Callithrix jacchus: one gene and its partners. The protein of the gene in region 1 interacts with the protein of each later gene in a pairwise test. Links are inferred from orthologs where the notes say so. Each region holds a gene or a part of one and is shown in the gene's direction. Other genes may lie near its edges. The genes, in order: EGFR, PDK3, STAT1, CDK1, YWHAZ, PTPN12 and MAPK8.

What was found.
Region 2: the proteins of EGFR (region 1) and PDK3 interact in a protein complementation assay, tested with the Homo sapiens proteins (2 studies listed by BioGRID and IntAct). The link is inferred for Callithrix jacchus from reciprocal best matches to the Homo sapiens genes EGFR and PDK3.
Region 3: the proteins of EGFR (region 1) and STAT1 interact in binary tests that used the Homo sapiens proteins (3 or more experiments, as listed by UniProt). The link is inferred for Callithrix jacchus from reciprocal best matches to the Homo sapiens genes EGFR and STAT1.
Region 4: the proteins of EGFR (region 1) and CDK1 interact in binary tests that used the Homo sapiens proteins (3 or more experiments, as listed by UniProt). The link is inferred for Callithrix jacchus from reciprocal best matches to the Homo sapiens genes EGFR and CDK1.
Region 5: the proteins of EGFR (region 1) and YWHAZ interact in binary tests that used the Homo sapiens proteins (3 or more experiments, as listed by UniProt). The link is inferred for Callithrix jacchus from reciprocal best matches to the Homo sapiens genes EGFR and YWHAZ.
Region 6: the proteins of EGFR (region 1) and PTPN12 interact in binary tests that used the Homo sapiens proteins (3 or more experiments, as listed by UniProt). The link is inferred for Callithrix jacchus from reciprocal best matches to the Homo sapiens genes EGFR and PTPN12.
Region 7: the proteins of EGFR (region 1) and MAPK8 interact in a protein complementation assay, tested with the Homo sapiens proteins (3 studies listed by BioGRID and IntAct, with this or other methods). The link is inferred for Callithrix jacchus from reciprocal best matches to the Homo sapiens genes EGFR and MAPK8.

Annotation. Positions count from the first base shown.
Region 1 is NC_133512.1:22,474,956-22,479,317, forward strand, and holds the start of EGFR (epidermal growth factor receptor), read left to right. Parts: upstream 1-1,513; 5' UTR 1,514-1,771; coding exon 1,772-1,859; intron 1,860-4,362. UniProt on the Homo sapiens protein: Receptor tyrosine kinase binding ligands of the EGF family and activating several signaling cascades to convert extracellular cues into appropriate cellular responses.
Region 2 is NC_133524.1:25,264,571-25,268,145, forward strand, and holds part of PDK3 (pyruvate dehydrogenase kinase, isozyme 3), read left to right. Parts: coding exon 1-89; intron 90-489; coding exon 490-600; intron 601-3,575. UniProt on the Homo sapiens protein: Inhibits pyruvate dehydrogenase activity by phosphorylation of the E1 subunit PDHA1, and thereby regulates glucose metabolism and aerobic respiration. Can also phosphorylate PDHA2.
Region 3 is NC_133507.1:37,793,403-37,797,666, forward strand, and holds the start of STAT1 (signal transducer and activator of transcription 1-alpha/beta), read left to right. Parts: upstream 1-1,397; 5' UTR 1,398-1,535; intron 1,536-1,880; 5' UTR 1,881-2,034; intron 2,035-4,010; 5' UTR 4,011-4,011; coding exon 4,012-4,139; intron 4,140-4,264. UniProt on the Homo sapiens protein: Signal transducer and transcription activator that mediates cellular responses to interferons (IFNs), cytokine KITLG/SCF and other cytokines and other growth factors.
Region 4 is NC_133513.1:69,676,631-69,680,803, reverse strand, and holds the start of CDK1 (cyclin-dependent kinase 1), read left to right. Parts: upstream 1-1,367; 5' UTR 1,368-1,520; intron 1,521-1,883; exon of another isoform or gene 1,884-1,902; intron 1,903-3,051; 5' UTR 3,052-3,076; coding exon 3,077-3,113; intron 3,114-4,173. UniProt on the Homo sapiens protein: Plays a key role in the control of the eukaryotic cell cycle by modulating the centrosome cycle as well as mitotic onset; promotes G2-M transition via association with multiple interphase cyclins.
Region 5 is NC_133517.1:96,015,897-96,019,951, forward strand, and holds the start of YWHAZ (14-3-3 protein zeta/delta), read left to right. Parts: upstream 1-1,227; 5' UTR 1,228-1,359; intron 1,360-2,705; exon of another isoform or gene 2,706-2,856; intron 2,857-4,055.
Region 6 is NC_133512.1:72,591,881-72,596,213, reverse strand, and holds the start of PTPN12 (tyrosine-protein phosphatase non-receptor type 12), read left to right. Parts: upstream 1-1,490; 5' UTR 1,491-1,840; coding exon 1,841-1,939; intron 1,940-4,333. UniProt on the Homo sapiens protein: Dephosphorylates a range of proteins, and thereby regulates cellular signaling cascades. Dephosphorylates cellular tyrosine kinases, such as ERBB2 and PTK2B/PYK2, and thereby regulates signaling via ERBB2 and PTK2B/PYK2.
Region 7 is NC_133513.1:40,582,637-40,587,010, reverse strand, and holds the start of MAPK8 (mitogen-activated protein kinase 8), read left to right. Parts: upstream 1-1,574; 5' UTR 1,575-1,726; intron 1,727-2,993; exon of another isoform or gene 2,994-3,187; intron 3,188-4,374. UniProt on the Homo sapiens protein: Serine/threonine-protein kinase involved in various processes such as cell proliferation, differentiation, migration, transformation and programmed cell death.

The DNA of each region.
Region 1 (4,362 bases):
GTCAAACTCACTCCTGTCTTCATTTTGTGTTCCGCTGTTGTGCTTCCCGTTTGCCATTCCCTGGTTTTGTTTTTTCTTTGTTTCTTTATGGACTGCTCTCAGCCCAGGTGTGCATATGTGGAGGAAGCACACACGTGCCTGCAGAGCCGTCACAGCCTCTGCATCCAGGGGCTGACTTCAACCTGCAGTGGCTGTCCTGATTGGTTAAAACAAAGGAACAAATTACTTCTCCTGATTCACAGGGGAAGTTCCAGGTTGCAGCAGCGGTGAGGAGCTGGCAGTGAGGAGTCGGCGGTGAGGAGTTTGCGCTTGCCCTGCTGAAAACCCCACCGTTTAGGCTGCAGGGTGTGAAACTCTGGCACAGACAATTTGCTGGATGGGAAGGAAAGAAGCAAGGTTGCTCCCCTCCAGGGACAGCAAAGGGCAGCAAAGGGCTCCACTTACTTCAGGAGTGTGGTTCTTGACAGAGCCGGGAGATCAAGGTTGTTGAATCAGGCCGGAAAGTCCTAGTGAACCTTGTGGAGAGGAGGGGTCTGTAACATGGACCTAGAGGGCATTTTTCCTGTAGGAGAAGGAACAGTGGGGATAGGGTGCACTTGCAGAAGGAATGTAGCTCAAGTTCCTGCAGCCCAAAGCAGCTCAGTTTCTTCCGGCCAAAGCCTCTGCGAATTTCCCTGGCATTTCTCCTGTGGGAGCTACCAGGGCAGTGGGACACTTAGCCTCTCTAAAAGTATCTCCACGGCTGTTTGTGTCAAGCGTTTATTCCAAGAGCTTCCCTTTTGCGAAGTACTGTGCCTCACACATTGGCTCAAATTACCCAGGGTCGGTTACAATAAACATTGAGGAGGCCTGTATCTGAGCTCGGAGTTGGGTACCCTCATTTCATTCAATTTCGAGGGTGCTTGACGGGATCTGAAGGACCCTCGGACTTTGGATCAGCACCTCGGACGCCTGGCACTCCTGCTGCACAGGCACGGCAACCGCCTCAGCTGCCAGGCCAGCCTCTGAGCCCTGGGAGGGTCCCAGGGTGCTGCAGGGGAGGTGGGGACCAGAATAAAAGAGCAGTTTCCCCGTCGGTGCCATTATCCGACGCTGGCTCTAGGGCTTGGCCAATCTGTCCAAAGCTGGTACAAGTTTGCTTTGTAAAACAAAAGAAGGGAAAGGGGGAAGGGGACCCTGGCACAGATTTGGCTCCATCTCAGCATAAGCTGGGCCTGCAAGTCCATGGAGACTGAGTCCAGAGGAGCAGTGCTGGGAACGCCCCTCTCGGAAATTAACTCCTCAGGGCACCCGCTCCCCTCCCACGCGCCGCCCCTTTCCTGCCGGAGCCCGGGTCCCGCGGGGGTCACCGCTGTCCACCGCCTCCGGCGGCCGCTGGCTTTGGGTCCCTGCTGCTGGTTCTCGTCCCTCCTCCTCGCATTCTCCTCCTCCTCCGCTCCTCCCGATCCCTCCTCCGCCGCCTGGTCCCTCCTCCTCCCGCCCAGCCTTCCCCACGTCCCGGCCCGCGCGAGCTAGACGTCCGGGCAGCCCCCGCGCCGCGCGGCCGCAGCAGCCTCCGCCCCCCGCACGGTGTGAGAGCCCTCCGCGACCAAGGCGGCTGGAGTCCCGAGCGAGTCCCGGGGGCCGCCGCCGCCCAGCCGGGACGACAACCCACCTCGGCGGCGTCCGCCCGAGTCCCCGCCTCGCCGCCGCCACAGCCACCGCGCACGGCCGCCTGACTCCGTCCAGGACTGATCCAGGAGCGTCGGAGCGAGCTCTTCGGGGAGCAGCGATGCGACCCTCAGGGACGGCAGGGGCCGCGCTCCTGGCTCTGCTGGCTGCGCTCTGCCCAGCGAGTCTGGCTCTGGAGGAAAAGAAAGGTAAGGGCGTGTCTCGCCGGCTCCCGAGCCGCCCCCGGAGCGCGCCCCGGACCCCGCAGCTAGCCCAGCCGCGCACCGGCGCACCGGCTCGGTGCCCGCGCCCCCGCCCGTCCGTTCCTGTTTCCTTGAGATCAGCTGCGCTGCCGGCCGGGACCGCGGGAGGAACGGGACGTTTCGTCCCTGGCCGGGAGAGTCCGCGGCGGGCGGAGGAGGAGACGGGGAGGGCACCGGGCTGCGGGCGGGGCGGAGAACGGCAGCTGGCACCTCCTGCGGTCCCGACCGCTCCCAACTTTTCTCCCTTACTTTCCCGCCTCTCTGCGCGGGATCGGCGTCCGCGGCCCGGTGGGCGCCGGGAGCCGGGGTCCCGCATGGCGCCCCGCGTTGTCCTCCCAGGGCACGGCGGGGTCGGAACGCGCACCCGAGGGGCCAGCGCTGCCCACCCGCAGGGCCGCGCGGTTTAGGGAAGCTGAGGAAGGACCCCGAGAATGCAGCCTCCCCTCGGACCCCGCGGGACAGGCGGCTTCCTGAGCTGACCTCCCGCCTCCGCCCTCCGCGCGAGTCTCACGCTGAAGCCGGCGTGGGTCAGCCTGGCCCCGGCGCCTCTCCGGGTCCCCGCGAGCCTCGTTCCCGGGTGTGGAGTAGCAGCCTTCACCTGGGAGCTGGGAGAACTCGTCTGCCACCACCTGCGGCTCCCGGGAAGGGGTGGTGCTGGCGGCGGTTAGTTTCCTCCTTGGCAAAAGGCAGGTGGGGTCCGACCCGCCCCTTGGGCGCAGACCCCGGCCGGCGGCTCGCCCCGCCCGGCGCGCTCTAGTTCGGCCGGTCCAGGTGTGTCCCGCTGAGGACCCGACCTCCCTCCGGGGCGCCCCCCCCCGAAAGCCCCGGGCTCTGGTTCGGTGGCCATGTCGCGGGTTTTCCACGCCTGCAACCCTTCGGTCGAGCCTGGGCTTCGCGGTGGAACGGGACGCGGCTGTCCGGCCACTCCAGAGGGGGACCGCGGGACTCTTGCGCGGAAGCTCAAGGAGCAGAGCCGGTCCTGGCCACACCACGGTGTTTCAAAACGGGGCTCACAGCAAACTTTCCTTCTCAAAACCCGGGGAGTTTCTTTCTTGGATGTTTCTCTTTGCCGTTTGAAGAATTTGACATTGGGCCAACCAAAATATTAAACCTGTCATACACACACACACACACACACACACCAGATTGATGTCCCTGGTTCACGTGTGCCAAGTCTCCAGACAGAACATGAGCGAGTCTGGCTTCGTGACTACCCTCATAAACCCATCTGACATGGGAAACATGCCTCAGGTTTAATTGCACAATTCCAGCCTTGAGCTGCGCGGGTTCCAGGAGCCAGGCCCGTACTTGCTGTTGATGTCACTGGCATGAGGCGTTGGGGTTTGGTGCCCAGCGCCGTTGTTGGGGGAGGGACAAGGCATAGAACAGTGGTTCCCAGACCTTGCTGCAGTTTAGAATTACCTGGGATTTTTTAAAACCAAAACAGAAACCAGTGTCTGGCTCCCACCCCCAGACATTCTGATTTAATTGACATGGGGCAAGACCTGGATATGGTATTTTTAAAAATGCTTTTCATGTGATCTGTTGGGCAGCCAGGTTTGGGGATCACTGCACGGAAGAAGGATTGTTAAAGTCTCCGGAGAGATTACTTGCCAATGCAAAGAGCTCTTTGAGGACATCTGGAGTTTTAACAATCTTGCCAAATATAGGAAAGAGGGGAAAGGTAGGGTGTGATTCCAATAATAAAGGATTTCTCTTCTCACTGAAGGAACTCTTGGAAAGATTCCTCCTCTGCTGAGCCTACGCGACCCTGTGAGTCAGGTGCCAGCCCTGTCTCTGCGGAAGAGCAGAGACTCTTCTCTTTATTTTAAATTAAACATGCAGAGCACCTCCAAAGCATCACTTTCCTCCCTCCAGCGGTGTTCTTGTTCTTTGATGTTACTAGCTTGAACACCTGTATTAGTGGCTGGAGATTTGTTCCTAAGAAAAATATAAATACCACTTAATTTGCCTGTTGGTCCCATATTCACCCAAAACAGAATGCTCCTGAAGACGACAGAGAGTAGGTGAACAGACGCTATTCCATTACGGTGACATAAAAGACTGAATGTTCAGGGGCAATTATTAAAATAGGAGATGAGCTCTTTCAGCAGAAGTTTGTTGAAGGCCTGTGTCTATCAAGTTCAGTCGGTTTTGTTCAAGGTGCACTTTGGTTCCGGGACATGCTAACTTCTGGGCTTGCTGCTCTTAGAGCAAAAGACTGCCACACACTGTTTCATGCATCCTTTCAGTCCTCACATTAAGCATAAGAGGCATGCGCTCCCCTCCTATGGGGGAAACTGAGGTACAAAGGATTAAAGTGACTTTCTCGAGGCTGCTAGGCAGCAGCGTGAAATTCACATGCAGGCCTTCCGACTCCAGATGCCTCTCTCAACTTCCAAACGCCACTGCCTCGTCAGAGTTCTGGTTTCAGGCGATCCAGGTCAGG
Region 2 (3,575 bases), on another chromosome or scaffold:
CAACAGTCGAACTCTATCAAGATAAAAAAGAGGCCTACCCTGCTGTTAAAACCCTTGTTACTTTGGGTAAAGAAGACTTATCCATTAAGGTAACTGTCTTATGTGCATGTATACTTTAATTATCAGTTGTGATTTAATAGTATCTAGACATTGAAAACTCAGAGGGAAGAAAATTGACATTTATTGAGTGTCCTATTTGTAAGTTCTATGCTAGATCCTTGGCTTGAGGTACCTTATTTGAACTTCATTAGAACCTTGTTATTCAGGGAGTTGAGCAAGACCTCAACACCACGCCTGTCAGATCCTACAATACCATTCAGTCTCCTTTGTTTTACACTGTTTACAGAGGAACCATATGTCACTAGGGGATTCAAAGCCCTTGTACATTTTGGAGTAATCTTCGATGTACTTTATTTAATGAACCCATTACCTCCTACTAAGTATAGATCAACTTATTTGTTTTGACTGTTAACATTTTGTGCACTGCAGATCAGTGACCTAGGTGGTGGTGTCCCACTTCGAAAAATAGATCGTCTTTTTAACTACATGTATTCGACTGCTCCTAGACCCAGCCTGGAGCCTACCAGAGCTGCCCCTTTGGTAAGCGTCTGAAACTGCTACTGAAGGAAAGATCATAAACATGGGAAGGGGCTCAGAGGGAGCTGCCTCTCTCCCCAGATTGTCGCATTAGTGTGGTTGACTTAGAATGTTGCCTGTATTACGGTTTGGAGGAGGGAGAATGTTTTGCCTTGGCTACTTTCTTTGTGAATCCTTTGGACTTGGATTTCCTCTCTGATCTGTGTCCAAGAAACATTCCAAGCTGAGTGCCTCACTCCCAGACACAGAGAAAAAGTACCTCATTGTGGTAAGACTGCTACTGGAGCACCATTTTTCACTTTGTGCTACCCTTGGAAGGGGTGGAAGTTGCCAATGGGTGAGCAAAAGGACAGTACCGAATGCATAGCTGCTGCTTGGTCCTGTGTACTCTGGCATGCACACCACAGAGGCACGAATCACTTAGTGCCTGGGAATCTCCACTGTCAAATTTGTTTATATAATTAAAATGTTACATTATGAAAACATTAAATTTTTATATTAAATAACATTAGCATGAAACATACAGGTGGTGTATGCATTTTCAGAGCCCTTTCTGTCTCACTCTGGAAATAACCTTCAGCCCTATTAAGGCAGTGAGAAAAGCCTCTGGTTGCCATGGTAGCATTTAGATCCTGGTAGGGCCACACTTTCTTCCCCTGCTGAGTGTTTCTAATTGACAAACAACAATTGAACCCTTTGTCATTAAACACAGCAACATATCTATCAGTCTGCAAAATGGTTCAGGGTATATATTAAGTTTCATTTTAAAGTCCTACCTGACTGATAAGCATATAAGATTATATTTTATTTGTAAGAATAAAATCAAAGACTTTGCATCATTTATTTGAGACAGAGTTTGTTAACTCAGCATGTTGGAAACAGGAAATCATTTATATAGGAGTCGAGAAAATTCATGAAAGATCACATTTGAGAGGCATTGTCTTGACTAGGCTCTGGTATACACTGAAATACACATCAAAAGGAAAAAAGGCACTACAAACAAATCTAGAATCTTCCCTAGTTGTTTAAGAGAAATATAGATTGTCTTGTCCAGGTCTTAAAATAGAATCTTGAGGATAGCTATTATGTAATAGGTTTTTTTTTTCTGAATAAACCTGAGGACTTGTAAGAGACCTTTAAAAATTATGAATGCTTATTCCCATTGTATAGGTGAGGAAATGACCTTCCCCAAGGTCACTGAGCTGATTAACCACAGAGCTGTTACTGGCCATGTCTGTGTTCTTTCCAGTGTACTAGGTGGCCTCTCCTTTTGAGAAATGCTTCCGCTACTGGCTCTCCCAGTTAAGAAACTGGCCTGTAATCCTAGTACTTTGGGAGGCCAAGGCGGGCTGATCACTTGAGGTTAGGAGTTTGAGACCAACCTGACCAACATGGTAAAACCCTATCTGTACTAAAAATACACAAAAAAAATTGGGAGCAGTGGCACATGCCTGTAGTCCCAGCTGCTCAGAAGGCTGAGGCACGTGAATAGCTTGAACCCAGGAGGTAGAGGTTGCAGTAAGCCAAGATCACACCACTGCACTGCAGCCTGGGTGACAGAGTGAGATTCTGTCTCAAAAAAAAAAAAAAAAAGAAAAGAAAAAGAAACTGTTCTCAGCTTTAAAGTGGGCACATGAGTATGTACTACTAAAAAACATAATTTCTTCATTGAGCAACTTACGCTTTTACACCTCTGTGCCTTGAAACGTGCATTTCTTTTTCGAGAATATCCACCCAGAGAACTCCTGTTGATCCTCTGACACTCTAGGAAACTTTTCAGGAACCTCAGCAAATTCGAGGTTGAGGTCCAGACCTCTCCTCTGCATTCCTTGGGAGTCTGGGCTTACACTCACAACTACATTGGCCTCGGAGTTGTTGGCTGTTCTGTGCTGGGCATGAGGGCAGGCTTTGGGCCTTGCATGAGCACAGGAGGCAGATTTTCTCATGTCTCTTCCTAGAGTGAGCTGGTTTCTTTGCTGTGGTTACCTGAGTCACTACTATAGATATCTCATCTTCACTATTGGGCATATTCAGCTAGTCCTAAAGCCCTTAAAGGATAGGGTACTTTCTTTCACCCCCTGCCCTTTCAGTTAGACCCTACCTTGAGGGAAGGTATCACGGACAGATGTTAGAAAATGGCAGAAATCAATGTAACTTCATAAAATTGCTGCCCTTACTATCCATAGTACCAGCTTCCATTTATTTAGTTTTACTGTTCCAAGATTTTTTTTTTTTTTTTTTGCCAATCAGTTTGAGCTTATAAGTTTGCTCAGGTTAGCCTTGAACTCATGACCTCGCCTTTGCAAGCGCCACGACCTCCGGCGGGAGCCACTTTGGACCCACTGTGCCAAGATTTTATACTTGTTATATCATTTAATCCTTATAGCAGCTCTGAGGTCAGCTTTGTATTATATGTTCAGATGAAAAAAATGGCCTCAAAGAGGTTGAGTACGCTGCTCAGAGTGACACAGAAAGTGGATTTCAACTTGGGTCTCTCTGAGCCTAAGGCAACTCTGCACATGATTTCCCTGCTTTCCTTCCTTAACCTTGTTCATAAATTTAACCAGAAGTGAGGAAGCTTGGTGTTACAGCACCTCCTTCCCCACCCTGCCCCACTACCACCACAAACAGTATTACATTTGCTTTCAATTCTTACTGTTCTTGTCCATACCTGAGACCTTTTTTTTCCCAACCTAGAACACCTGTTATTGACAATCAGGGTTCCATGATGAAGAGATATAGGATAGTACTGAAAATTTTTTTAATCCCTAAAAATATCTGAACTACAGGCCAGGTGCAGTGGCTCACATCTGTAATCCCAGTACTTTGGGAGGCCAAGGCGGGCAGATCACCTGAGGTCAGGAGTTCAAGACCAGCCTGACCAACATGGAGAAACCCTGTCTCTACTAAAAATACAAAATTAGCTGGGCGTGGTGGCGCATGCCTGTAATCCCAGTTACTCAGGAGGCTGAGGCAGG
Region 3 (4,264 bases), on another chromosome or scaffold:
AAGATCTCAGAGATGAGTTAGCCAGCAAAGAAGTTGGGTAAAGCAGATGTTGTCTCAGGGGTTTTCCAAATAGAGAGCCACTGGTGAGAAGACCCTGAATTTGGGGAGTTTGGTTTATTTGAAGAACTAAATGCTGAAGTAAGCAAAACAGAGTTGTACATTATGGGGTTAGAGAAAGAGATCAGGAAACCAGGGCTTTATAATATGTATTAAGAAACTAAATTTTATAAGATCCAAGAAAAGCCATGGTAGGATTTTCAGGTTGGCAAATAACATGATCTGCTTTTCAATTAAAAAAAAAACAAAAAACAAAAAACAAAAAACCAAACGGCTGTATGGAGAATGGATTAAAAGGGAGCTAAGGGCTGAAGTGAGGCAGCCATTTGGGAATCTACTGCAGTAATGGGAATGAGAGAAAAGGGAGGCGGCCAAAGGGATGGAGCAGAGTAAATGAGACTTGGGAATTAGGAAGAAGAATCAACAAGGTTGAGGATCAGGTGTGGCAAGGTGAGGGAGAAGGCAATGTCAACCATGAATCCTAGCTCTCTGACATGTGCCATTTCTAGAAGAGCATGTTTAAAGAGAAAGGTGAGCTTGGTTCTGAACATAGTCTGTAGAGCTCACTGCACATAGAAGTGGCGAGGCAAGTGGGGGGTGTAGGTGTGAAGCTCAGAGGAGAGGTGTAGACAAGATAAGCATGTAGGAGCCCTCCATCTAGAAGGAAATTGAAGTTGTGGGTGAGGTCTTCACAACAGTGTTGAGGAGAAGCCTACATAAAGCTGACCAAGGTCTGGACCGTGACAACTCAACATTAGTTTGTTAGTGGAGGTGGAGGTAGAAAGAATGCCAGAGGCAGGAAGAAGCAAGGACTATCATGCTGTCATCATGACCAAGGAAGACACGTGTTTCAAGAAAAAAGGCGTCAACTGTGCCCAATGCTTAGGAGCAGTCAAGTAAAGTGAAGACAACGGAAAAGTGTCCCCTGGGATTAGCAACATGGAGGTCAGTTGCTAAAGGGAGCTTCTAGAATGACGAGGTCGCCAAATCTGTCCTCTGCCTGAATTCTCGGTGGTAAAACTCAATACAGAGACCTCCAAGTTTGGGCTTCTGCAAACATAGCGCGTCCTTTTAGTCGTTCTCTAAGATATGTAAACACAACTACAGTCCCCAGCGTGGCAACGCGGGACTGGGTTGCAGCGCGCCCACGCAACGGCCCGGCCCAAAGCCAGAGGAAACACCAGGAGCGCGGGAGGAGCAGCGGCCTGCAGAGGGAGGCGGCAGCGCCCGCGGAACAGCCGCGTCCAATTGGCTGATCGCAGAACCGCGTGGTGATTGGTGCGGGCGGAAGGGGGCCGGGTGCGGGCGCTGACTTTTGCAGCGTCGTTTCGCTTTCCAGCGCAGAGTCTGCGGAGGGGCTTGGCTGTACCGGGGGACCGCGCCTGGCCTTTCCCCAGACCCAGCAGAGGCGACACGGCGCGGCCGGAGAGGCTGCATCGCCGCGTCCCCGCCTAGCCCTTCCGGATCCTGCGCGCAAAGTGAGTGGCCGTGAGGTTCCGGGTTCCGGGTGCAGGGGTAGGACGCCCCGGGACCGAGTCCGCGGGCCGTGCCTTTGGCCGCCGGGCGAGGATGGGCTGTCAGTGCTGATCGGCGAATCCGTGATCCCGGAGAAAGAACGCTTCCCAGTATTTCAAGTGCGAGCAGTGCCATCTGTTTTCGGAGATGGCACTGCTCAGCACGATTGCCCTTGCTAGTCGTGCTCTGGCAGTAAAGAGGACTTGTGAAATAGAATTTTCCTCTAGAAGTCACTGCACCTTCCCGTTTACGCTCACTTTCTCCCGTTTCCGCCCCTTTCCATCAGTCACATTTTCTTCTTTTCGCAGGAAGTATCATTTGCTGTATGCCATCCTCGAGAGCTGTCTAGGTTAACGCTCGCACTCTGTGCATGCAACCTCAACAGTCTTGGCACCTAACGTGCTATATGTAGCTGATCCTTTGGTTGAATCCCCAGACCCTTGTTGGGGCACAAGGTGGCAGGTCAGTAAATGTTCATGGGATCCAATGAATGAGTATATGACTTCGGTATCTTAATTATGTATCTGTGTTTAAAGATGGAGGAGCTTAATGTCTTCCTGTAGTTCAAAAGTGATGTTTAGTTTTTGCAGACCCCACACCCACCCCAGATAATATAATTACTCCTAAAGAAAATTCTGACCAGCACTGAAGAGTTCTGGGGTAGGCATGCAGATGTGTGGTCGATTGTGCTTTGAATGTTGTTTGTACAGATAGGGAGTTGTTTTTATAGAACAGAAATAGGACTTGAGCCTCCAGCACAATTCATTGTGCAACTGTTGCTTAATGAGGATGCTGGACTCACACTTGTGACATCAAAATATGATTTGCTTTTTACTTTCTAATTCCGTCTGAAATATACAAGATTTCAATTCAACAAACTGTTTTGAGCATCTAGTATATTCAGGGCACTGTCCAAGGTCCAGAAGAGGTTAAAAGGAAAATACCCCTGCTACTTCACCCCCACTCCACCCACCTTCCCCGCCACAGGCTCTGGAGGCATCACAGAACTTTGCAAGAAAAACTGGAACCAATGCTCTAATAGAGGTACAGATTCAGTGAGGCACAAGTCAAAGAAAGCTTAATTGTGAGTAAGTCAACTTTATGAAAGAAGGGGCTTTTGTACATAGCTTTGACTGCTGTAGGATTTAGAGATGCAACAATTTGTAGAGAGGATGTTTGCAAGGGCAAGTGGCAGCTGGAGAAAAGCAGAAATGTTGGGTACACTTGAAAAACAGTAAATAATTCGGTGACTGGGTTGCTTTGTTGACGGATGAAGTTGGGGTGGGGTGGGGGTGAAGTAGCACACACTCTTCCATGCCCTACTTGAAAATCCAGACCCCCGTCCCCAGAGGTCTGGCAGGACAAGATTCACTTGTGTCTACTCTGCATATTGCCAGCATATTGACATAAATCCTGTTACATGATGGTCGTGGAGACTCTTCATTTTCCTAATGAATTTTAGGACTTCCTTATATCAAGTTTTTATTGTGATTTTTAATCACAATATAAAAATGTGATTTGATCACTATATAAAAAAATTTGATCACTATATAAAAATTGACTTAACAGTTACTCAAAGAGATGTGTTACTTTATCCTTTTAAATACATTTAATGATGTTGTTTTAATATTTAAAAATCATTACTACTTTATGCCAGATTTATTGTTTGTAGTGGGCAAAGAAGAAAATACATCTTTTTAAATGTGTGTAACAAAAATAATGAATTTTACCATATGCATCATAAATATAAAATAGTTTAAAAATACTTAAATTAGAAATGTACTGTTATTTGTAGGAGAGCAATTTTGGGAGAGTCTTATAATTTAAAGCAAATCTAATTAAAATAATGTTTTTCATGTATTTATTTGATAGAATAGCAAATTCATTTTAAAGGTGTATTTATTTGATACTTACTACGTGCTTAACATTGTTCTGGGGATACACCAGTGCACAAAATTCTCCAACATCCATCCTTCAGGTGGTGAAAATAGACCATAATCAAAATTTAAAATGTGGTAGGTCAGATGGTGGTGTAAGTACTATGCCGAAAAATAAAAATACACCAGGGAAGGGAGACAGCATGTTTACAGGGTAGGTGTTGCCATTTAAATAAGGAGGCCAGAGAAGGCTGCCCTGATATAAAATATATCATAAATATAAAATAGTTTAAAAATACTTAAATTAGAAATGTACTGTTATTTGTACAACAAGCAAAGGCCTGAAGATGTGTTTCATGGAGGAGAAAAAAGGTTGATTCCCAAACTCAATTAAAAACAGGCTTTAGACTATAAATGCGATTTAAATAAAATATTCCTAGAACAAACTATGTTTTGGATTGAGCAAGATATTTAAGAGTACAACCTGATGCTAGGAAGGTTTTCTTTGAAGCTAGGGTCTTCCATATACATACAAAGAATGTATATTCTTTTTCTCTGTAGTATGTCTCAGTGGTATGAACTTCAGCAGCTTGACTCAAAATTCCTGGAGCAGGTTCACCAGCTTTATGATGACAGCTTTCCCATGGAAATCCGACAATACTTGGCACAGTGGTTAGAAAAGCAAGACTGGTAAGGAACTAAACCTTGTTGATTAAGTGACTTGGAAACGTGTTTACTGGAAGGTGAATTTCATCAATGGGATTATTTGTTGTAGAAAAGTTTGTTGATTTAAAAAATGACATGTGTCTCGACAA
Region 4 (4,173 bases), on another chromosome or scaffold:
TATCACAAGGATAAGGAAGTTCCATTCCATATCCTAATTTGGGTCTTCTAATACATATTTGTAGTGGGTGTGGCAATCAGTCTTTGTTCTATGTCCTATTAGGGTCAATGCAACTAAAAATCCTTAAAATGGAGACTTTCATTACGTCTAGCTCTGTTTTATTTACTTATTTTAAAAAGACGTCAGAATGGTGTTTAGGTTGAGCTGGTGATTACACTTGTAATCCCAGCACATTCAGAGGCCAAGGCAGGAGGATCCATGGAGCCTAGGATTGGAGGCCAGCTAGGGTAACATGAGGAGACTCTGTCTCTGCAAACAAGCAGAAGAAAGAAAGGGAGAAACAGAGAGAAAGAGAGAGAGAAAGAAAGAAAAGAAAAAAGAGAGAGGGAGGGAGGGAGAAAGGAAGGGAAGGAAGGAAGGAAGGAAAAGAGGGAGGGAAAAAGATATTGAAGTGCAGTAAGTGCAGAAATCGCTCTTAAGGATATTGTGGAGGGCATTGAAGACAGCGTTTTTGACACTGTATTATTTAAAGCATAATTTAAGTCTGTTTTTCTTCCCTCATACAATTGTGAATTTTTGTGTTTTCATAATATTTAAGCCGGGCGTGAAACCGGACGTTGTGCCGAGTGCCTGTACTCGCAGCTACTCCGGAGGCTGAGGCCAATTGCTTGAGTCCAGGAGTTGGGGGCCAGAATAAGCAACGTGATGAGACCCAGTCTCTAAATATATGTCTCTCTATATATTTAAAATTCTGATGTGAAAATATTTTAAAATTTAAAACATTTCAAATGTTTTAAACAAAAATGTAAATAATAAATTAAAATTCAAACGAAGTAGAAACAAAGCACAACGATATAAATAATAAATATTCTTTTACATTTTTGAGGCGGTCTGTTGAGTTTTCCATTTTCTTCTTAAGGTGGCTGAAATGTGCTCTTTGGAGCCAGCCCGCAAATCACGCATTTAGAAAAACGTAACTATACACTGCTTACCCTAAGTATTAGATGTTAAAGTAATGGAATCTGGATGTAAACACAATATCCCTTTTTTGCTTTGAGTGATGAGCTATTTTGAGTGTAATAAATTTGAACTGTGGCAATGCTGGGAGAAAAAAACTAAAAAAAAGAACGGAGCAAGTAGTAGCTTCCCGCTCCGCTGACTAGAAACAGTAGGACGACACTCTCAGGGCTGGAGAGCGCCCGCCCTCCTGCTTTTTCTCCAGCCGCCCTTTCCTCTCTCTTTCGCGCTCTACCCACCCACGAGGCCTGCCCAAGCGTAGCTGGGCTCTGATTGGCTGCTTTGAAAGTCTACGGGCTACCTGATTGGTGGATCTGGGACCCTTTAGCGCGGCGAGTTTGAAACTGCTCGCACTTCGCTTCAAAGCTGGCTCTTGGAAGTTGAGCGGAAAGCGACGTGGCTGTGGTAGTTGCCTCTGCTGCCGCCGTGGGATAATAAGCCGGGTAGAGTGGCTGGTGTCGGGGTCGCTCCTAGAGGCTGAGCCCAGGGGCCTCAGAGGCTGGGTATTGAGGAACGGAGTCCTCATAGGAGGCCGGGCTTGGGGAGCAGGGATCTGCGCAGAGCCAGGCTGGGTCTCTGGAGGGCAGGCAGGGCCTTCTCCTGGGCCGGGGCCTGGGCATGTGAGCCACACCGGGCCGGCTTTAGAGTGAGGCTGACGGAGCCCAGCCGGGGTTGTGGGGGTGGCGGTTGGGGCTGCCTGCAGTCAGGGCTCGAGGTCGGCTTCTCTCAGAAACTTACTGGGGAGGCTTTCGGGTCAAGGTTGAAGCACAATCCGCTCCCCTATGGTGAGCGCCTGCGAAGTGGCCGGCTCCTTCCTGCACCCGCCCCCTGCGCGCCCTCCCATCCTGCCTCGGGGGTGAGCAAGCGGCACCGCACCTGGGCCAGGTACGGGCGCAGGTTCCTAAAGCCAGGCCGCCCTGAGAAACAGCTCCCGGGACTCGTGGGCCTTCTCGAGCTGGCTCTGCCCACGGCCCCGGCCCACCTGGAGTTTTTAAGAACACTCAGCCCAGGCACTCAACACTCAAGAGCAGTGTAGTGCAGTTTTTGTTGTTGTTGTTGTTTTCATTTAGAAATATACCTCGGCTTCCTTCTGGATTGATTTTTCTTTGAAGATGAATGAGAAATAGAACTTAAAAATCTATTCAGAGTGGTATTTATAAATGATTTTATCGTCAGGGATGCGTGTTAGAAAAATCGAAGTAATTATGCCTGGACTTCTGACGTTTCATTGGCAAACTTAAGAGGAAGTCTTGAACTTCTGATTGTCAGCTCTTTTTTTTTTAACCATTCATTGTGATTCAAGTATACAGCGTTTCTGCTTGGTCCTTGAAATTGCGTAGGCTATAATTATAATTTATCTGTAGAATTGCACTTTTCATTCTTTTGTTTTAGCGTGCTTAAGTGGTATTTCCTACTCGTGCAAAAAGTATCTTGAAAGCCTTGAGCATGTTTTTCTGTGACCTCTACAAGCAAAGGAAAAAGATTAAAATTGTCACGTGGGCAACTGTAAACACTTACACGTTTTTGCCGCTTTAAACACAATCTTCCTAATGAACAGTCTGAACACATTTTAGTTCTATATCTTTAAAAAACCGTGTTTTGCATAATGTTAGGAATATCATAAAGCGGTATAAATTTGTTGAAATATTTCGGTATAAACAAAAAAAATTTCGGTATAACTTTGGTACATGCTGGTACTACTTTAAATTGTCAAATAAAGGGAACATTCTGGTTTTTGTTTGGAAAGAACAGACAAATTGATTTCTGAATTTGAGGGTTATTTTGATTGGAAGACGCTAAATACTATACTAGGATGGAATATACAAATGTTTCCAATGTCTCAGGAGTCAAGAAGGATGGAAAGTTATTGTAGGAGTTCTTACCCTTGTAAATATTTGAATGTAATTAATATTTATGGAATATTTACTATACTGCAGTATGCATTGTGGAAAATGCTTTATATATAGTATCTCAATACTTAAAACTACTCGAGTTAGTGGCATGTAATTAAGTCAGTTTTTCCCTTCATTTTAGGATCTACCATACCTATTGACTAACTATGGAAGATTATACTAAAATAGAGAAAATTGGAGAAGGTGAGTGGCTTTAGTAATATAACATTTTTTAGAATGATTTAACAATGCTACCACCAACTTCTGTAATATGAACACATGTAAATATTTGTTAAAATTTAACGACTAAGATGTCTTGTAATATCAATGTATATTAATATATGTTGTTTACATAGTAACTTAAACACAAATTTGTTCATATTTCAAGAGAATCAAAATTATTGAGTCCCTAATGATCCTTCCCCTCACCCCCATAGTCTTACATTCTGCTGATACCCAACACTTACAGCATTACTCTTGTTTTGAAGACACTGTTGATAACTTGTACATGTATTTAGGGACAGAGGTTAGGGCAGCAGCATTATGCTAATTTCATAATATATTTTTAGTCTCAGTTATTTTTAAGATGATAAATGTTTTTATTCAGATTTTCTAGACTGGTTACAATAATTGACTTAATCTTCTATTAAGTCAGTCTTGACTTAAGTTAATTTTGATATTTAGTTACCTTAAGTATAAATGACCTGTCATATGTAGGTGTTTAATCTATTCTAAAACTATAACTTATGTATATAATCATTCCCTTTCTGTGATACTTGAAGGAATGTTTAGCTCTATATATGGCACAAATCATATCCCTTAACCTGTCCCCTTGAGTCCCGCAACAGAACATCCCAGTTTCTTTCCAGGAGTTTTGACATTCTCAATTCTCCGGGAACAAAATAATTTGCTAATAGAGTCCAGTTTGTATAGGTTCTGGCTGAAGAAAATTCCCAACTATATTTTTAATGTGATCAAAGACTCCACTTGGGAAGAAATAATAAAAAACAATGGGGCTATACTGGAGGGAATTTAGTGAAATAGGAATGACAAGTTAGTGTAGTGGTAGATTGGATGTGTGTGTGTGTGTATATATTTTTTAATCACTTAAATACCTAATTCATACCCATTCTAAATGAATTTTGCTGCTGAATTACAAATATGTGATAAGTATGTCTAATGCCTTGTAGTATGTTTCTTAAATTTTCAGAGAATTAGTGTTGATTGCAGTTTGGCATAAAAGGAGACCTTTTTTTTTTCCTTC
Region 5 (4,055 bases), on another chromosome or scaffold:
GCTTTTAGAAGACAAAACGGTAATGATAGTCACGTTTTAAATCACTGCAGTGTGAGCTCTTCACGTGAACGCTTTATTTGGGTAGGAAAACCTAGCCTACGAGAAACAGGCCCGTGCGGTCACGCCTGACTGCTCGTCTCCGGGTCAGCTGTGCCAGGACCAGCTCCAGCCCCCCACCGGAGAAGGCGATCCTTTCCCCTCCGCACTCTGGCTTCCCTAAAGCGGCCGCGCCTCCTTCCAGGCCTGACCTCCCGCCGGCTCCGCCCGGCCCGGCCCACCTCGCCCCATCTCGGTGCCCACCCATTGTCCCCTCTCGCTGTCACCGAGCGCAGATCCCGAGCTCCCGATTGGAACACCTCCCCATCACTCAGCCACACTCCCGTTTCCGAGCCATAAAAGGTCTAGGGCCACTTCCCCGGAGCCAGCAGGTAAAGCCGCGGCGGCGTAAGGGAAGCAGGGAGCGGCCGCGCCCCCTGGTCGACCCAGCCGAGCAAGGGGAGCACACCACACACAGCCCTCCCTTGCCTTGCGACCGCGCCCTGTCCTCGCCCCAGGGCCCCCACCCTGCAAGTCCTGATCACAATGCCGGAGCCGCCGACCCACACTCGTCATCCTGCCCCGGGACGGCCCTGGGACAGTGACCACCGCGAAGCACCGAGGGCAGGGCAGGGCGGGCCGGGCCTCGGGGAGGGGGGCGGGGTGGGGGGGATGTGAAAGGTCCCGGATGTTGCTGAACTGGAGCCCCTTCCAGAGGAGTGAGAGGAGTGACTGGCGCAAGCGCAGACCGGCTGAGCGAAAGCTAACGTGGGGGTAGGGGTAGGGAGACAGCTGCCTTCCCACAGGCTCAGAGGTAGAGTGGGCCGGTGGAGGCTGCAGGGGAGAGGACGTCGGGGACCTAAGGGGAAGGCGAGGAGTCGGGGGGATCTGCGTTGGGGAGGAAAAGAAAAACAGAAGCTTCCCGCCTAGGTGCACTCCGGACAAGCGTAGAGGACCTGGGAGCCGAGCCGGGTGGGGGAGTGGCCGTAGCGGGCGAGGACGCGCGCTCCTCCGCTCGCCCTCCAGCGCGGGCGGGCAGGACGCGCGCCGGGGAGCGGCGGTTGCGCGAGGCCCAGATCGCTGTGGGCACTAATCAACGGTTGCCATAGCAGCGTTTGACGTCATCGTGCGTGTGGTGCCCCTGCTGCCGGGGCTGGTGATTGGAGGAAACCCCGTGTCTGCGGAGCGGCTGTAGCCTGTGAGCAGCGAGATCCAGGGACAGAGTCTCAGCCTCGCCGCCGCTGCCGCCGCTGCCGCCGCCGCCGCCGCCCAGAGACTGCTGAGCCCCTGTCCGTCCGCCGCCTCCACCCACTCCGGACACAGGTGAGGAACCCGTCCGCCGCCGCTCCCCGCTCCTCCTGTCCCAGGCCAGCCTTCTGAACGCGTGGGAGCCGTCCTCACCGGGTCCCCTCATCCCCGCTCGCCCCACGGTGGCGGCGCGGGGCTGAGGCGGAGTCTCCCCGGCAGACACGGGCGGCGGCTCCTCTTCCGCTGGGCTCGGGCGGGCGGCTAGCGGCAGCCTCCCGCGCCTGGTTTCCGCGTCGCCGCCCCGGCCCCGATCGGTGCTCGCTCCCCCGTCCCGCTCCCGGGGGTGGGGAGGGCGCCCACACGCGAGATCCCCGGGGATCCCCCGTCGCCTGCTCCCGAAGCCGGACGAGGCATGGCCGGGGCGCCGCCGGCCGCGATTCGTCCCCACCCTTGTTTCTGCTTCTACCCCCGCCCTCGCTGCCCTTCTCGCTTCCGCCCGAGATAATGACTCGGCGGCGGCGGCGGCGGCGGCGGGCATCGCGGGGGCGCAGGTGAGGCCGCCCCCTCCCCTGTCCCTCGGCCGCCCCTTCTTTCCCCTCCCCCGCTCTCCCTCCCCCGCTCTCCCTCCCCCTCGCGCAGCCTCCGCGCTGGGCGCTGCGGTGGCGGGACCCGGCCCTCCCCCACCCCGGGAGGAGGTAGCGCGGCGGGGAGGGGCCGGGGGCCTCGGGGACACAGGCGGGAGGGAAGGGCCTGGCGGAAGCGGACAGGAGCCCGGGCCCGGCCCGGCGGCGGGAAGGGAGCCCACTGCGGGGGGAGGCTGTGGGGTGGGGCTCGCCTGGGACCTGGAGCTGAATTTCCTGGGCTCCGCGGTGGGGGGAAGGGCTTGAATTTTCTCGGTGGGGACGGGGGATGGGGATGGGGATGATTTTCTTTCCTCCTTATGAACCGTCGGGGAAGGCGCGGACTGGGGCTGTGAGCCCAGGTTGGGGTAGAGCGGGGTGCGGATCCCGCGATAGGCTCTCGCGCCGGAGTCACTAGAACTGGAGGGTCCCTCCGCCGCTTCGGGGACGCACAGTGATCCTGAGCAGAGCGGCCGCCGGTGGCCCGCTCGACTGGGTGTGGCTCTCGTCCCCTCCCCCACCTGCAGCTGTCGGGCCCTTAGGGACGGTGCACGCGGGCACCGGCGCTGATCGGTGGCGGGGAGAGCGCTGGGTGGGAAGGCGGGGTGTGTCCGCGGTGAGGCTGCTAGTGGTTCCGCTTCTGCGGGCGTCTCTGGCGTCTCTGCCCCGGGGTCGGGTGGCTTGGCTTCCCCCCACGGCTCGAGCGGGGGCGGGGGCGCCGGCTGCTCCTCCCCCTTGCTCCGGTGGGGGGGGGAATTAACACTCAGCAGTAGGTTGGGCTCCCTGACACAGATCCGCCATGACAAAGGAGGAGAGTCGGGGACCTGAGCGGAGGCTCGGGCTTGGGCGGAGCCTGGAGGGGGGTGGTTGCAGATACGCGGACCCGAGGATTTGCACTTTAAAGTCCGGGTCTGCCCGTTTTCTTTTCACCCTAACCGATGTCTCAAGTCAGGTAAGGGTTAAATGGGTGCGGTGAGTCCTGCCCGCAGTGTAGAGGCGAGGCCTTGGAGCCATCGTTACTGTGTGAGAAACCTTATCCACTTCCTCTTGTACCCAAGTAGTGGGGGAGAGAATCCTTTGTGCTGGTTTGAAATCATTTTTCGTTAGAAGCAGAATTAGCCAGAGAGCGTGTCTCAGTTCCTAAGGGAAAAATTAATAATAGAGAGACCTGAGGAAAAGCATGTCGTCATAAAGGTTAAATAATTTTTATGGGTGAGCCAGTACCTTGCATCCAAATTAGCTAATTACTTGCTTAAAATGTGAGGACATGTTCTCTCATTTGGTTAAAAAAGTATTGTGGGATTTCCCTGGGAAGGTAAAAGGTAATTAATATTCGGGAGTCAGCTCCCAAGGTGGGTGGGTCAGAATAGCTCTTCTGTTCACCTTCTAATTTAAAATATACACTTCATTTATGTGTATATTTTCCTCTAAAGTCGTTTATTCTGCGGTCTCACTGTGTGGATTAGTGTCTTTGTGCTGTTTAGCAACTTTGAAAAGGATGTCCTTCCAGAAAAATGTAGCTGAGGTAAATTGAAAAGGTCTAGGAAACTATGTGAGGGAAGGAGTTAGGTGGGTAGTCACGGCAAAGGACAGCTTGAGTGATAGCATGCAGTTATTGTGACGGTGACAGCTAGAAGCAGGATGCGGCACTTACACATTGCAACTGGAGCCATGACATTGCAAACACTTGTAAATTAAGCACTTCCAATGTGATGTATTTTAGTACTCACAGTAATAGTTGAAGGGCCATGACTCGTGGGTATTTTTAAAGCATGTGGACATACAACACGATAAAGAGTTGAGGCATTAGGGTCGGTTAGATGTTGGTCCTTTGTGGTGGCTTTACAGTAAAAATATCTGAGAACAAGCAGTTTGGCTATTCCTCCCCTAAAGTGTTATGCTATTACGGCTGGCAAATGTTACAGAGATCTAGTAGATTTGGAATGAGGGGAAAACTAAAATTTAATCACTCCTTATTATGAAAGTTAAAAGACATAAATTACATTAAACTGACTTACGATTCTGGAAGTATGATAGAAATCCACATGTTCTGTAAGCAGTACGTTTACAAAAGGAAGAAAAGCTGCTTAATTTTATATCACTTAGTGGTATTGGAATTGAGTTGAGATTTTGGGGGTAGTTTTTTAAGGC
Region 6 (4,333 bases), about 50 Mb from region 1:
TTCCTATTATAACCAAATTCCCTGACCACTGTGCTCTGTAAAAAAAAGTTTGTGGGTATAAATGACCTAAGTCAGTTCACAGGTCAAGTTCTTTCAGTTCTGTCACACTGTGAAAGGTCACTGTTGTTAAAGTAAAATAACTTGTGTTCTAGTTACGGCTCTGCTAAGAATATGCTGGGGGATGTCAGAAAGCCATTTTATTTGTAAAATGATGAGTTAGACCAGAATACATTCTCTGACAGAAGTTTACAAGGATGAATAAAGACTTATAGGCCAGGCGCAGTGGCTCACGCCTATAATCTCAACAATTTCAGAAGTCGAGGGGTGAAGATCCCTTGAGCACAGGAGTTCGACATCATTCTGGGCAACCTAGTGAGACCCCCTTCTCTACCAAAAATAAAAATATAAATTAAAAAAATGTATTAGTTGGGCTTGGTGACGTACTGAGGCAGGAGGATCCCTTGAGTCCAGGTGTTCAAGGATGCAGGGAGCCGTGATCATAGCACTGCACTTCAGCCTGGGCGACAGAGCAAGACCTTGGCTGGCTCCATTAAAAAAAAGAAGAAAAAAGAAAAAGATTTATAAAGATTTAATAGATTTACAAAGTCTGTTCTACGGGGGAAAAGTTTCCCATTCATTTCTGAACTGCTGTGAACCTAAAGACAGGAAGACAAATTCCCTTCAGTTCGGCAAACACAAGAGTTCCCACTACCGCATCGTCTGTGAAGAAGGCACTCCGAACCTCAGGCGCTCAGTCGCCAGGTTTTAGAGAATGCGCAAAGAATAAAAGTCTGTTACCCAGGAAGCGTTTCGCTTCCCTTCGCTGGAGCCACGTTCAAGGTGCCAAAGCCTAACTGCTGTCCACTCTCAGCAATGTTAGCAAAATGAGCACCTACCTGCTGCGAACGTGGCGGTGACACTACTACAGTTCCCGGCCTGCCTCCCGCCCGCCCCCGGCCCGTCCCCGCCTGTCCCGGCTCCTGGACTCCACAGGCCGCGACTTGTAGTCCGAGCCTACGGCTGGCGGCGGCGTGGGACTCTTGAAAATTGCTTTTCCTCCTTAGTAGGCGGTGAGACCGCAAATTCCAGCAGAATTCTACTCTCACCGACTAGGACTTGCCCGGCTCAGAGTCGCATTCCCTTCACTGGGCAACCATCTCACCTCCCAATGCTACTCCGACTTCTGAGCACCCCGAACGGGGCCACGCCCCGGAAATGGAGTCAGGTCTCCAGGCCGCCCGCAGAAGCGCCTTCCAGCCACTCCAAGACGGGCTGGGACCCGCGGGGCGGGGTTGGGGGCGTGACCTGGAGGCGGGCGGGGGTGGATCGGCGGGCGCAGCGCTTGGGGCGGAGCCGCAGCGCGAGCCCGCGCATCTGGGTGGCGGCGGGGACGCGCCCGTTGGGAGAGGCGGCTGCGGCTGCGGCTGCTGGCGGGGGGGTGGGGGGGGAGGAAGAACCGGGAAGGGGGGGCAGGGCGAGCGGAGAGCTCTGTTCCTGAGGTGGCGGCGGCGGCGGCGGCGGCGGCGTCGTCTACGACGGAGGAGGAGGGCGGGGAAGGAGGATGGAGCAAGCTGGGGGTTGGGGTTGGCGCTAGCCGCAGCGGCTTGTCTCGTACTGTGGGAGAGTGGCGGCTGCTTCTGGAAGTTGTGGTGTCGCGATCCCCGGTGCCGCCGCAGCCGCCGCCTGGGGCGGTGGGAAGGAGGAGGGAGCCGCGGGGCTTGGCGGGGGTCGGGAGGGAGGGACGTGCTGGGGGAGCGAGCTGGGGAAGACGGAGCGGGCTCTGCGCCGGGCGGGCGGGCGGCGGGGGGGCCAGCGACCGCAACCGGGGGGACGCGGGAGGATGGAGCAAGTGGAGATCCTGAGGAAATTCATCCAGAGGGTCCAGGCCATGAAGAGTCCCGACCACAATGGGGAGGACAACTTCGCCCGGGACTTCATGGTGAGTCTCTCCCCTCGCTGTCGCCCTGTCTCGCCGGCGCCGGAGCCCATCACTGTCTCTCCCGGCCCGGCCGCCAGTGCTTTGTGTACCTCTGTGAGGAGAGCGGCGGAGGGGGCGCGCACCAACCCGGCGGTACGGGTGGACTCGGAAGCCGGCGGGAGGCGAGACCTTCTCCTTCCCTCGGCCTCCTTTCTTCTCCCGTGTTCGCGACCCACGCGCGGGCGCCCGGGACGCGAAGGGAGCGGCCGCGCGGCCGAGCCCGCAGCCTGCACCGCGGCTCGCGACCACCTATTGTTTACCCGGTCGGGAGCCGGAGGCTAGTGAGGTGCAGGCCGGCGGGACGGAGGGGGCTCGCGTTTCCACACCTCCCCGCCCAGTCCGCTCCTCCCTGGAGGGTCGAGGCAGGATCTGGCTGTGACCCGGAGGAGTGCAGATCGCGACTGACAGAGGGACAGGGGACGGGGGGATTGAGGTTAGCACTAATTCCTGGGGTCCCTTTGCTCCAGCTGGTCTCAAAGCGGGCGAAGTAGGACTTCTGTTTCTGGCGGTGCAGTCATGATCTCCAACGCTTGGGAAAGGATTGTCCATAAGGAATCTCATGGGTTTACCTAATTTGCATTTACCCGCGTCTTCTCTCCTGAGACCCAGGTTTGAAGTGGTCTTGGGGGTCCGAGTGACTCTAGGTTCAGGGAGTAAGTGTGGGTGGGGGGGATTATCCTGAAGGAAGCTGATTTCGGACTCCCCAGGGGATGTTGCCGAAGGCGGAGGGGATGTGACTATCACTTCCTATCCGGGGTGGGGGTGGGGAACTTGGGAACAATAGTCCTGGTGGGGCGGAGGCAACGCTAAGGGCCGAAGCCCTGAACTGGGAGATAACCTTCCCGGTGCCCCCCCTCGCTCCGCCGCCCCCCACTTTCCGCCCTCTGCTTGTGCAAGCAGGCTTGAGAGGAGGTGAAGGTTAAAAGTCTTATTCGTGAAATTGGTCTAGATAACGCTGTTGCTCCAGCTCACTATGAGGGGGTCAGATCCGAAGGCGTGGGACCAGAAGTCGACTTCCTACATTATCGACCCCCCACCCCCGCCTCTTTTATTTTCTGCTGGACACTGTTCCCTCTAGGGTTGTTTCCCGGCTTAGGAGGCGGTGGTTGCGGCTGCTGCTCCTACGGATATTGCGCAAGACTGGGGCGTTGGAAACCCTGTAGGTCTGGGGAATGGAAAAGGAAGTGGGACTTTGGGAAGTGGTTGCTCCTTAGCCTTGGTGGGGATTGGGAATAGGAAAACAGCTAGGGAAAATTTTTATTCTGGATAAGATAAACCTCCAAGAATAATGACTTAACTCTGAAATTGGATTATGAAAAGGATACACAGTTAATATCTTTAAAATGAATGGGCAGCAAACATTGGCTAGTTTTTATTTAAAAGTGCAGTAGTTTTTATGGTACAGGTGATATGACTTAGTAGTGAAATACTTTTTCACGTTTTAAAGAGATTTCGGTCTAGTAAAGCTTTAGCGTTAAATTTTTAACAGCTTATAAAATAGGTCCTTGACCTTAACACTATATTATAGTAGTAGTATCGTTGAGCTTTGTGATTCCTGCATCCCCAGACCAATAATAGAGGATGGAAGTAAAGTTCTCTCAGTATCTTTTGAAGATTGAAAATAAAAGTTAAATAATCTAACTTATTCCTTATTAAAAATAAAAATATTCCTTATATTTAAACATTTGCTGTTGATATTTACCGTACTTTTGAAAAATTACTTTTTGATCTGAAAGGGTTAAGAGGGCATTTTCCCTTTTTACTGTTGAGAGTTTTTCATTGCGTTGATATCTTTTGAATGGTGTCATTTATGGTAATTGGATGGCATCCCCTTTTTTACCACTTTCTAAAACGTTGGTTTGTTTTTTTTTGAGAGGGGGGTCTCATTCTGCGCTCTGCGACTCAGGCTGGTGTGCGGTGGTACAATCTCAGCTCACTGAAACCTCCGCCACCCAGGTTCAAGCATTCTCCTGCCTCAGCCTCCCAGGTAGCTGTGATTACAGGTGGCAAGTCACCATGCCTCGCTAATTTTTGTATTTTAGTAGAGATGGTGTTTAGCCATAATGGCCAGGCTGGTCTCAAACTCCTGATCTCAAGTGATCCACCTGCCTTGGCCATCCAAAGTACTTGGATTACAGGCATGAGCTACCACACCTGGCCTAAAACTAGTATTTTACCATCTTATTTTGGTTATGGAAGAAGAGATGATGTGGTCCCTGGTCATTTCTTGTTTGCATGCTAGTTATCTTGTTATCCCTAGGCATATCCTATCAGGAAGGAGCATTGTTTGGTGATGCAGGCCATCAGGACAGGTGCCCAGCCTCTGAACTCCTATACTGGGGAAGTAGCCTTAGG
Region 7 (4,374 bases), on another chromosome or scaffold:
GCAGAGCTAGCCTTTCCTGAATTTCTCCAGTTTATCCTGCTCAATCTCTTCACAGGACCTTTGCATACAAAGTTACTTCTAAAATATTCTCTGCCTAGTCAAACCCATTCCAAGCTCAAGTGACAGTTTCTCAGGGAAATCTTTTCTGCCCCTATTAACTAGTGTATTAACTGGTTTCATAATATTATGTATCCTTGACAATTTGTATTATAAGACAGTGATAATTTTGCATGTGTTTACTGCTATTACTTTGATAGCACAGTGATTAAATCTGTAAACTCTATTGTATTGCCTGGCACTGAATGGGCATGCAATAAATAATTATTGCAGGAATAAAGGATGGCAGGAAATTAAGAAGGTTGAAAAGGAGGGAGAGAGAAACTGGGATGAGAATTAATGAATAATCACCTGTATGTTCCTTTTCAGAATCACCAGAAACAGGCCAGCCCAACATACATATATATATAATATTTATAAAAATTATATTTATTATAAAAACAAATCATTATAGATATATTTATAAAAATATATAAATATGTAAATATTTATATATTTATTATTAAAGTAACTTACTTGTTTCCGATTGTGAACATAACTATTATTCTCGGAAAACATGAGAAAATACCCAAAGTGTGAAAGAGAACCAAGTCACCCTTTATTCCATAGTCCAATGATGAACGACTGTTAACATAATTTGGTGTATTTCTTTCCAGGTTTTTTCTATGTGTATATATAGTATCTAAGTGGGATCATTCTATATATAAGACCTGTTTTGTGCTTCTTTCTCTTAATGATATATTGTGAACATTTTTCTATGTTGTTAAGAATTCCTTGAACACATGGCCTTTAAATTGCTAAAATGTATTCTACCGAATTGATGTAGGTAATTTCCACCCGTTGTTGGATATTTAAAGGGCTCGTCAATTTATCGCTTCTGTAACATTTACACGCTTTGTGGTGCCTCAGAGGTAAGCCAGGTAATGCAAGGCATCTGGGAAGAGTTGGATTTGCAAGGAATCTCGGAGGACGTGGATTTTGGGAAAACAGGAGGCAGCTTTTCTAGGGCAGGTGAAGAGAACACTTATCTCTCTGTGGGTTGCTGGGACCCGGACAGGTGTCCTCGGAATGGAACTACTGTTGGTCAAGGTAAACAGCTTTTCATCGCTCAGATGTGTATGGAGTGGAAGAGTGCCTGTTCGCCGGGCATATTTGGCCTAAGCGCACCTGCCCTTCAACCCTGTGCCAGCGAGGCCCGAAGGCTTAAGCAAGGACCTGGCTACCGGTGCCAGCCAGACGCGGTCCCCTGGTGCCACGCGCCAACACGTGCCGCCTCAGGGCCCCGCCCCTCCCGCTCCTGGCCATGCCCCTCACCACCGCCCTCGGAGGCTCTCCCCGCGGCTCCGCCTCCAGGCCACCTCCGCAAGTCCCTCGGCCCACTGGAGTAGCCCCGCCCTCGGGCGGCGCCCCGCCCCCGCAATCCGGGCCCCGGGGCTGCCCCGCCCCGCAGGCCGCTCGGGAAGCGCGGGGGCAGGGCCCTGCGCGATGACGTAGGCGGGCGTGCGCGGTGACGGCCCGCGTCCCTGTTAGTCAGCGGAGCCGCTGAGGCCGGACGACGCGGCTCGGAAAGCTGAGCCGCGAGCTGCGCCGGGTAGCGGCCGCGGCGACCGCCCGGACGGCCCCTGTCTCCGCTGGCGGGCTTCCCTGTCGCCTTTCGCTGCGCTGCCGGGTGAGTGCGGCGGGAGCCGCAGGGCCAGGGCGGCCGGCGGCCCCGCCGTGTTTATGTTATTGTGCCGTCGCCGCCGCAGCCTTCTCAGCCGTGACCCCCTCCCGAGAGTGGGGACGAGAGCGCGCGGCGGGCGGGGGCGGTGCGGGAACAATAGCGGCGCGGAGGCGGGGGCCGGACGAGGGGGCGTGGGGCTGCGGGACCTGAGCGCGCTCCGCCGGCCGCCTGTCCGCCCGCCCGCCACCGTGAGCCCCGCCCGCCTGTCCTCTCGCGTCCTCCTTGCGCGGGTCCTGCCTCCGAGTCGGGAGGAGAAAATGGAGCGGGGGGTGGGTGGCAAGTTCTGAAACACTTCGGCGAGGGTCGGACGGAGGCATCTCCGCGGCCCGCCGCTCCCTGGCTGCCTCCCGGGCGGCGAGGAGCCGAGGAGAGCGCTCCTGCCGCCGGGTCCCCAAGCCTGCCCCGAGCCCATGGGGACCGTATTTTGCTTCTCGGTGGTTTCTTTGTGCTAACGTTCTGGGCGAACGCAGGCAGCAGCGCTGAAAAGGGCCGGGGTGGCCTTCAGCTCTGGGCTGCGAGGCAGAGCTCAGGCCGGTGGCTTGGGCGGGAGGTGTCCACCCAGCTCGGCCCGAGCTTCAGTGGTCAGCGCGCATTTCTCTTGGGGGTCACTCGGTGGTGACCTTTTGACTTTTTCACCCCGCCCTCCCATCTCTTTGTCTCACATTTGTGTTCCCAATTCAGAGATGGTAGAACCAAGGCCATTTTAAAGTACCCTGATGAACACTTCATTTTTATTCCCGAAAGTTCCTCGCCTGGTCTTTACTGCGAATTTAATAATATGTTGACTACATGGCATTGTCCAGTGATTACTATTTTTACCTCTGAAATTCAGTGATTTTTCCAGCAGAATTCTGGTCCGTCAGTCCATTGTGTTTTGAGATAAGCATCCAGCGAGTACCCTCTTGACAATTAGAAATCTGTTTTTTTCATTCATTCATTCATTCAGCAACTGTTTAGTAGCGTACCCAGATGAAGAGGTTTGATTTGAAGGTAAAGAGAAGTATCCTTTCATGGAAGAGGATGCTTTGAAGTACAATAGATGGACCTTTAAATGAGACAATTATGTAAGTCATGTCTGCTAAGGAAGGTATAGTTATATTCTGGGTCATTTTTTAAGCAGTATATCTGGAAGTACAAGTGTAATATTAGGAAGTAGACTTAGATTTGGTCTAAACATACAACAGCTTTTATTTCTAAACTTTATTTTTTCCAGTCTTGCAGCCTTACAGTCATTTGTAATGGTTACCTCAGATTCCCCTGCTGTGGTTAACGTTAAACCTAGGAGGTCAGATGCTCTAAGTGAACATGTTTAGTGCTGTGCCTGACAAAAGCAAGCAATCAAAATGGGACTTCCTTGAGGGCAGGCCTGTCTTGCATCTCTTTCTCCACCACCTAGCCTGGAATATAGTAAGTGTTCAATAAAAGTCGGATTGATGAAAAGCTCTTTATAATTGATAATATTTTAAATCAAACTTTAAAAAAATGGTCTCCATAAAGTTTTGGAAGCTTCATGCTACTGTTGCTTCAGATGGCTGAATGATCAGTTCATGTACATTATCTTTTACGATGACATGGGCTTTTGAATCACTTGTAGGTCATTAATTTTCCTAAAATAAAATCTTGTCTAAGTTTTTTTTATATGATTAATAAACTAAAGCAGGTTGTGGGGTGTGTGCGTGTATGTACTAGTGTATGTATGTCTGTGTGTGTATGTACGTAATCTACACACAGGCACACATAAACTGATATCTCAGTAGGGGTCTAAAATGATTGCAGTTATCATTTTGTGAATATTGTTTGAAAGGTTTTTGGTGACACTTATTTTGTGGAAAAGTAAGGGCAAAAGAAACCACATAAATGTTTTATTAGAAATATTTAATTTCTAATATTTTAGGAATGTTTACTTGAAATGTTTGATTTTAAGTTCTAACTTGTATTAATACTATTGGCACAAAATATGAGCCTAAAACTCAAAATAATGGATTTATCCAAGTTAAAGTTATTTTTCACTATTTAATACAGTGTAGCATTTGTTTTGGATTTGAAAGAATACGAAATGAGTGAACTAATTAATGAGCTTATTATTTGATGTAAAGTAGAAATGAAGAAATAAGAAAATGATACTATTTAAAGATAAGGGATGAAAATCCTTTAGATACCAAACTTTCATTGGTTTACCTAAAGTATGTCATATTCTAGTAGGGGGTTACTGACAAACCTTTGGCAGTAGCTCACAGTAAGGCTATGTAGAGAACCAGAGTTATGTTATTTTGTATTCCAAATTGTTGTTTTTTTAAAAATAGCTCTATTGTAATTTAATTGACATATCATAAAATTCACCCTTTAGAGTATATATATTTCATTGGTCTTTTGTATATTCACAAAGTTGTGCATTGATCACCACCACTAATTCCAGAACATCACCCAAAGAAGAGGCATTATACCCATTAGCAGTCACTCAGAATTCCAGTTCAAATTATGCTTTAAGAAATATAGCATCGATTCTGTTAGTAAATATATTCCTTTAATAAGTATGAAAAGGGCTCCTTTTAAGTGTCCTGGAAACTATATCCTTCATATTCCTTTAGATCCTG